Linked DNA regions of Oryctolagus cuniculus. The protein of the gene in region 2 purifies or fractionates together with the protein of the main gene of each other region. This does not show direct contact. Links are inferred from orthologs where the notes say so. Each region holds a gene or a part of one and is shown on either strand. Other genes may lie near its edges.

Region 1 (4,339 bases), on a different chromosome or scaffold from region 2:
CCGACCACCCTGCTCTCCAAACAGCACGCGCTCAGCACAGGGGATGCTCGCTCGCGCAGATCACCTCCCGGCCGCCACACCCCAGTCGCAGGTTTCCTAAGCAGCAGTGGGAAAAGCAATTACTGCTGGCAGGGCACAGCCAGGACCTCCAGCAAGGGAACAGCCTGACTGTGACAGAACCATTTTACTGTGCACGGTGACCTTTGCTGCTTCTCTACTGGTCATTATATGCAGACTCACAATGGAGTCTGACAACTCCAAGTTGTTTATGAAACTATTTCAGATATTCAAATATTAGTGCAAAACGCTAGCTTAAGAAGAATGAAAGAAAAGAGAGCAAGTCCAGGAAAACCAGCGTGGCAGCACAGAAAAGGTCACACTCAACAGCCTCAGTATCCCATCGAAGGCTGCTTCTCCCAGGGCTCCAGGCATCTCACACTGGGACACTGAGATGTGAAACATTCTCACTGCAAGTCGTGTCACAAAGTTCTCATATTCTTGGTATCAAGACTTCAAGACTTTTTTTTTTTTTTTGACAGGCAGAGTGGACAGTGAGAGAGAGAGACAGAGAGAAAGGTCTTCCTTTGCCATTGGTTCACCCTCCAATGGCTGCCATGGCTGGCGTGCTGCGGCCGGCGCACTGCGCTGATCCGATGGCAGGAGCCAGGTACTTCTCCTGGTCTCCCCATGGGGTGCAGGGCCCAAGCACCTGGGCCATCCTCCACTGCCTTCCTGGGCCACAGCAGAGAGCTGGCCTGGAAGAGGGGCAACCGGGACAGAATCTGGCGCCCCGACCGGGACTAGAACCCGGTGTGCTGGCGCCACAGGCGGAGGATTAGCCTATTGAGCCGCGGTGCCGGCCCTCAACTACTATATTAACAAGTAAAAAATTGAGTATTAAACCATATGTGAAACACCACCAAAGAGCAAATAAGCTTGGTATGACTACCAAAATGTTCAAGTTTTTCTTAACTGAAATCTTTCAACTCACCCAAATATAACCGCATTCCACTGCATGATGTTGTTTTCCGACGGTGCGCCGCTGACACCCACAGGTGGGTCCTCCTGCAGTCTGGAAATCCAGAGTGGTCGGTTTAAAAGCGAGCATTAGAGCCACGAAGGAGGCCAAAAAGAACACTTATGGCCTCTGTACCAGCTATGCGGAGACAGAAACCATACCCATTTCCTTGTTGTTGCACCGGGCTGCAGTGACTCACATGACTTAAATACATCACCAGGGATATTCTAACGCACTCATAAATACCTCTCACGACCTGGGAGTCATCCCTCTCGAGCTACTACAAGAGTAAAACATCTCTTCAAAAACGCCCGTACACAGGCTGCCTTCTTGCCCCACAGCTGTAAAACCTCAAGGGCAAAAAAAATATTTCCCCGGAACCATTGATGGTGCTGCTCCAAGCAGGCAGACTGTGCGAATCCAAACTACAGCTGCTTGTGCAACATGGTTGCAAAAAAGGGGCTTTGCAGGGCAAACCTCAGTGCAGACAGTGAGGGCCGAAAGCACCTGGGTTCAGGTTCATCAGGGTCTGGATTTCTGCATCCCCTGTGCTTCGCTGGGCAGCGGCTTTTCGGAGTGACCCGCAGCTGGGTTGCCCAGCAGGCTGCCTCTGATGGCGCTGCGCTCATGAGGCAGCAAGACCGAAACCTCCTCCTCTGAAGACCCCTGGAGGAGCACCAGGCTGCCTGCCATGTGTTCCCCCCAGCAGTAAACACTCGCCGCAGGAACTGGGCAACAATGGCACCGGCTGCCAGTCTCGCCTCTTGAATTTCAGTCATGGGAACGAATGCAACGTTCCTGATTCTAAGCTTCAGATGTAAGATTTCTACCCCAGAGGTCTGTTCCAGACTGTCCCCACACTAAAACTACTACATTAAGGCACAAATACAGAGGCACTCATTTGCACACAGTGCTTTGCAGTGAGCCACGTAAACACGGTTTTCAGTTAACATCGGGCAAACCAGGCCTCCTGACCGGAAGCCCGAGGAGCTGGACACCTCCTTGTAAATCGCTCGAGAAGCCACGAGTGAACTAACACGGTGGCCAAAGCGCAAACAATGGCTCCCAAATGCCTTACATAAGCCTTTACAATGGCCAAGTTGAGAGGTTACTTCTTGAGCGGCAAATCCAAGTTTTGATACCACCTACCAAGTCCCCATTAAGGCAAGTCTACCCCCAGAAAACCTCCGCTAAGTTCTCTCTCACTGCTTCTCTGAGCTCCGAGTAGCCCGCACAAGGCAACCAAACAAACCAAAAAAGGGGCAGTTTCCTCCCCACAACCCCCACACCTCAGTCACAAAGGGAGGCTCGGCGGGGCTCGGACGCGCGCCAGGGCCGGCGGGCTATAGATAGGGCTGCGCTCAGCGGCCCGAGCCCCGCTCCGACGCCAGCTCTCAAGGTCCTGGCAGGCGGCGGGGGCAGAGTCGGGTTTCGGGGATGGGGTAACCACCTCCCGACCTCGCGCGGCACACCCCACCCTCCCCGCGGGGCGCAAAGGAACGGGGGGGAGGGGGCTCCGGGCCCCAACCCCGTCCCCCGGGCGCGGAACAAAGCTGACCGCTGCAGCGGGCGAGGAGCAAGCTCCTTCAAGAGCTCGCTTCTGGGCCAGAGAGAGGGGGCGCCGCGCGGTGCAGGGCGCCCCAGGCCGGCCGATCGCCACCTCTCCACTTTCGGGGGATGGGAGGGGTCGCAGCGGAATTTCTGAGTCCTCAGAGAGGTTGGCGAGGCCAGCACCGGGCTTCCGTAGGTCCCGCCGGGCCCACAGCCGGCGCCTTTACAGGCAACAGGGGAAGGTGTCCGGGATCCCGCCCTGCAGCCCCACAGCTTCAGGAAGGAGCCGCCATCGGGGGGCGGGAGGAGGCCCTTACCGCTTGAAATCCCGCATGAGCCTCCTCCGCGCCGGGGTCGACATGCTCCCCAGCTGCCCCGCGGTCAATCTGAAAGAAAAAGAGTCCCGCGCAGCCCCCCCACCCCCCGGCGCGGCGGCCGAATCACTGTGGGTCACCGCCGCCGCCGAGACTGCACAAACAACCCCGCAATGACGTCTCCCTCCGCCGCCTCCAGATCCCTCCGCCCTCCGCCGCTACCATGGCAGCAGGGGGAGCCGGGCGGAGGAGCGGGCCGGCGCCGCTTCCTGCAGCCCGCCGGCTGCGATCGCTCCCATTCCGCCTTCTGTTACGGATCGACAAATTAGTGTTCTCCGTGCTCAGAGCAGAGGTGGTGGGTTAAGCGACACAGAAACGGAAATACTACTTTGTCTTCCCCCCTCGTCACGAACTTAGGTTCGGCGGGGTGGGGAGAGAGGGACCGCATCCGGGGCCAGAGATTTCGGGGAAAGGAGGAGGGATGACGTAAGGTCACGTGGCCGCCGCCGGCGTTGTCAACAATCCACCCCTGAGGGGGAGGGGACGAAGTATCTAGAACCACGTGTCCCTGTGACGCTTTAGAACGGGTCACGTGAGCGCGTCCCCTGGACCTGCTCGGCCGGGTCTGGGAAGCGGAGGGCGGGGTATGTCTTCATTAGTTGTTCCTCGCGTCTGTCCCAGATACCGGGACCTTACAGCCGGAGTCGTGCTGGAACGATAGATTGATTCCAAAGTTTAAAAAACGGAACCACAAGTAACTCAGGACTTCATTGTTATCCCTCATTGGCTTATCAACTTTGCTCCGTGGGGCAGGAGGGAAAACCGAAAGGCTGTCACCTTCTAGGGAGCACAACGCAAAGTAAAAGCCCCGAAATGTTTCCCCACGGCTGCCGGATGTCTGTTCCCGCCTTGCAGTGGGGTTCCCAAGGTTGCTACTTCTAGGTGAAGACAGAAGAGTTAAAAAGGCCCCATGGAAATAAGTTTTTAATGGGTCTGTGTTCATTCTAAGATAACGACGGATTTGCCTGCTCTTTGGATTTGTTAGAAAATGGGGGTGCACCCGCGTGAGCAGATCAGGAGTGGTTGGTTGTCAACGAAATCTACAAAAGGACTCAGATCTGGAGGAAGGCATCGTGGAGGCACGTGGGAGCTATATAGCCAGCCCCAGATAACTCATTTTAGATTTCTCTGCATTCGCAAGTAGGGTGCGAATGGGCGCAAGTGCCACCTCCTCACAGGTGTGGACTATGGGGACCCTGAACATTCCTTCAGGTGCTAAATTCCCCCTCCCTGTAGCCTCCGTTTCTGTCCTGAGGATTTTGTTGGTCTGGAGGGCTCTGAGCCCTTCCCTATGGAGGAATTCAGTTCTACAAGGAGAAGGAGGGTAGGATGAGAACCACCTAATTTCGCACAGAAATTGCCCACAGTTCCATGGAACCAGAAAGGGTTAACTTTC
Region 2 (3,808 bases):
ATCACTGCAGCCTCCCAGGATCTGCAGTAGCAGGAAGCTGGAGTCAGCAGCCAGAGCTGGACATTGACTCCAGGCACCTTGATATACGATGTAAATGTATTAAGCAATGACTTAACCACTATGCCAAACGCCCACCCCAATACTTCGGTTTTGATCCTGGGTTACCAAGAGGCTGGTGGGGCCATAAATAGAACTACGGAAGTCAGAAGGAAGCACAAGACTTGGTAGGGAAGCTGAGTGTTTTGGATTTCCATGTCCTGATGAATTACTAAGGACAGCCAGATAAAGAGACACAGTAGGGGATCAGCAATGTAGACTAGGAGAGGGTAGTTAACAGTTAAACAGGCAACATGGTTTTTCGACTTAAAAAAATACATACACACATATTTCAACAAATATCATCATGTAATGCTTAAACTTCAGAATTTAAGATTAGTTCTTATAACAATTTTGCTCCCTAGCTTACCAAATCACTTTCTTACTAACTGTTGATACTAAATTTTCATTTAAAATAGGCCAAATTTAAAAGGAATAAAAGAATATACTCACTTAGGTTGAAAATCAGGCCTGAACCCTTCAGGTAGCTGTAATTCATTCACCTTTTCTACATTCTTTGAAGAGGCGGTATCTACAGAAATAGGCATTTTTTTAACCATTATTCAACAAATCACAATGTCTCTATAAATTTCTGCCATATAGGTCATAGAAATAGATATAAAAAAAAAGGATGAAAATAAAAAATTTCCACAAACAGAAACCTGCATAGCATCCATGTAAAGCATGGACTACAGGCACTGCAGGCAGCAGCTTTGCCCACTACGCCACAGTGCCTGCATCCCATATGGGTGCCAGTTTGAGACCCAGATGCTCCACTTCCGATCCAGCTCTGCCGTGGCCTGGGAAAACAGTAGAAGATAGCCCAAGTCCTTGGGCCCTTGCACCCATGTGGGAGACCCAAAGGAAGCTCCTGGCTCCTGGCTTCAGATCGGTGCAGCTCTGGCCGTTGCGGCCAACTCGGGAGTAAACCAGTGGATGGAAGACCTCTCTCTCTCTCTCTCTCTCTCTCTCTCTCTCTGCCTCTCCTTTTCTCTCTGTGTAATTGTGACTTTCAAATAAAATAAATAAATCTTAAAAAAGAAAAAAAAAAAAGCATGAACCACTGTCGTGGTTGACCAAGGCATTTTCTTCAGTTCCCTGCGGGCAGTATGGGGTGCAAGAAGCCTCTGATTCGGCTCACAGTCGAGCAAGTCACATGGCAGAACCAGAGCCAGCTCTTCAGCACTCAGCTACATCTTCCACACCCCCAGAAGGTTTTCAATAAAATGAGGGACTAAGTGAGGAGTACTTACTATAAACTTCACATGAGCTTATAAGTTTTCAAGGAATGAAGAATAATGTAACAAAGCAAAATTTAGCTTATAAAGAGAACTGGAATGAGTCAAACCATTCAACGGGAGGTTTCAATTTTAAATATTTCAAAAGAAAAAGATTTTATCTATTGGAAAGGCAGAGTGACAAAGTGACAGAGAGAGAGATCCATCTTCCAACTGCTGGAAGGGAGTTAAACAAGCAACATGGTGACAGCAATAGCTAGGCTGGGCCAGGTCAAAGCAAGGAGCCCAGAACTCCAACTGGGTCTTCCCCACGGGTGACAGAGGCTCAAGCATTTGGGCCATCTTCCTCTGCCTTCCTAGGCACATTAGCAGGCAGCTGGACTAGAAGTAGAGTAGCCAGCACTCAAACTGGCACTCTGATTTAGGATGCTGGCATCCCAAGCAGTGGCTTAAAATGCTGTACCACAATGCTAATCCCTCACTTTTAGATACTTTTTAAACAGTATTTTCTGGAAACACATTTCTAAGGATCTCAGACTGCAAGGAAACATGAAAACAGAACTTACCAGAAGCACTTCCTGCTTTCCTAAGAGCTTGTAATGCTTTTATTTGCTGAGATACTGTTCTGATCCATTGGGACAGATTTGGTTGGTCTGAAAAATTTAACCTAGAAAAGATGACAGAACATTTAGCACTTCACTGTTGTTGCTTAGTTTAAGATATAAAAAATTTCTTAAATGATCACAGGCACACAGATATGATTTAGATATAATTCCAATATTGAGGAGAAAAACAGCCAGGGGAAAATTTAGAAAAGAAACCAGAATAGATATAGGCCAATGGAAATAAAAATATATTATTTGTTAAGTGATGCTAATGACATTGTTAAAAATTTCACTCAGTTTTTCAGAACTGGAATTTAATAGACTTTCTTAAATACCACAACTACCGGTGCTACTAATACATATTAAGTGCTGATGATATGAGAAGCATGCAGTAAAGCATGTTGCTGTGCACCTCTTACAGTACTAGATTTAATCCTCAAAATACTCCTATTAAGCAGGTTATTTTACTGTCCCCACTTACAGATGAGGAAACTGAAGTTTGAAGCTTTGTAACTCAACTAAGGCCATGATAAGGGATAGAGCTGTCATTCAAATTCAGTTCAGTCAGACTCCAAAGCCTGTCTTTTTATGACAGTATTCCATTATGACCGTGCCATGGCCGACTCTCAAGGGAGAAAAACAAAATCTGAACCACAAAAGTGACAGGTGAAACCCTCAACCAACAATGACTAATTTCTTTACCAGCTCAAGTGCAGGTAAGCACCAAGCTGTTCTTTCACAATGAAAAAGCATAAACTTACATTCAAATCTACTATTTAAAGAACATTTTGCGGTAGAACAGACTAAAACACCAAAGCTTGACCCTCCAAACTGAAGAGAGAAATTTACTTTTAAGTTTTATGTATTTGAAAGAGTGACAGACATGGGGACAGAGATCTTTCATCCCCTGGTTCATTCTCCAAATGCCTGCAACAGCTGGGACTGGGCCAGGCAGAAGCCAGGAGTCCAGAGTCTGTCTGAGTCTCCTTTGTGGGCGGCAGAAACCCAAGTACTTGGGTGATCATCTTCTGCCTCCCAGGCAAATATATAGGAGGCCGGAGAGGAAGTGGAAGCAGGACTTGACCCCAGGAACTCAGATACAGGATGTGGTATCCCAAGCACTGATTTACCCAGTTGCACAATGGCTGCCCCTGATGTTACTTTGAATTGAATAAAAGTAACAGTACCGAAATAGATGATTTATATTCTTAAATTAGTATTTGTGCTTGTAAGAAGGATATCATAATTCCAAACTGAGAAATAACATTCAGATTTGAATGGTAGATAGTATATAATTTATATTTGGAATGAATATATTCAATATTCTTATTAACTAAAAGTATCTTAAAAATGGTGAAACTACAGGAATTTTCCATTTTAAATACACCAACAGATTTTCATGTTTTAGTCTTCTTCCTAAAGCTACTACTGACCCAAAAATTGCCAAACATTGAATTCAGTTGTTAGACTGGTCAGCAAGGTCAGGCGGCACTGCCCTTTTCTGCTTAGTGGGTATCCCTTAGAGATAATGAGGGCCATACTTAAAACAGGCTCCCTAGAAGTAAAGAGAGTTTTCATGAATACACAGGAATATTCCAACTTCCTGAGTATGGTATTGGCCTGTTCCTATCTGAAAACCGAAATCACATTACTATAGGTCTGCCAGAAGAAATGACTAAGTAAAAAGTTTGAAAAGTATCTGGGAAACACTATGCAATTACCTCAACTTATTATTTCGTTATCTTCATAGCAAATTACTGCTTCATTACGAGGCAATATGGGCTATAACTTACCTGTTGAAAATATTCCTTGGAGGAAGCAGCAGAGGAATAACGGTGTTACTCAAGCATTCACAAAGGGGGCAAAGGA

Evidence for each region.
Region 1: the proteins of UBR2 (region 2) and UBE2B purify together in Homo sapiens (affinity purification with western blotting; 3 studies listed by BioGRID, with this or other methods). This does not show direct contact. The link is inferred for Oryctolagus cuniculus from reciprocal best matches to the Homo sapiens genes UBR2 and UBE2B.

The regions. Positions count from the first base shown.
Region 1 is NC_091437.1:22,633,070-22,637,408, reverse strand, and holds the start of UBE2B (ubiquitin-conjugating enzyme E2 B), read right to left. Parts: upstream 2,934-4,339; 5' UTR 2,931-2,933; coding exon 2,887-2,930; intron 2,864-2,886; exon of another isoform or gene 2,308-2,863; intron 1,073-2,307; coding exon 992-1,072; intron 1-991. UniProt on the Homo sapiens protein: E2 ubiquitin-conjugating enzyme that accepts ubiquitin from the ubiquitin-activating enzyme E1 and transfers it to a E3 ubiquitin-protein ligase. In vitro catalyzes 'Lys-11'-, as well as 'Lys-48'- and 'Lys-63'-linked polyubiquitination.
Region 2 is NC_091436.1:127,283,324-127,287,131, forward strand, and holds part of UBR2 (E3 ubiquitin-protein ligase UBR2), read right to left. Parts: coding exon 3,733-3,808; intron 2,002-3,732; coding exon 1,901-2,001; intron 629-1,900; coding exon 550-628; intron 1-549. UniProt on the Homo sapiens protein: E3 ubiquitin-protein ligase which is a component of the N-end rule pathway.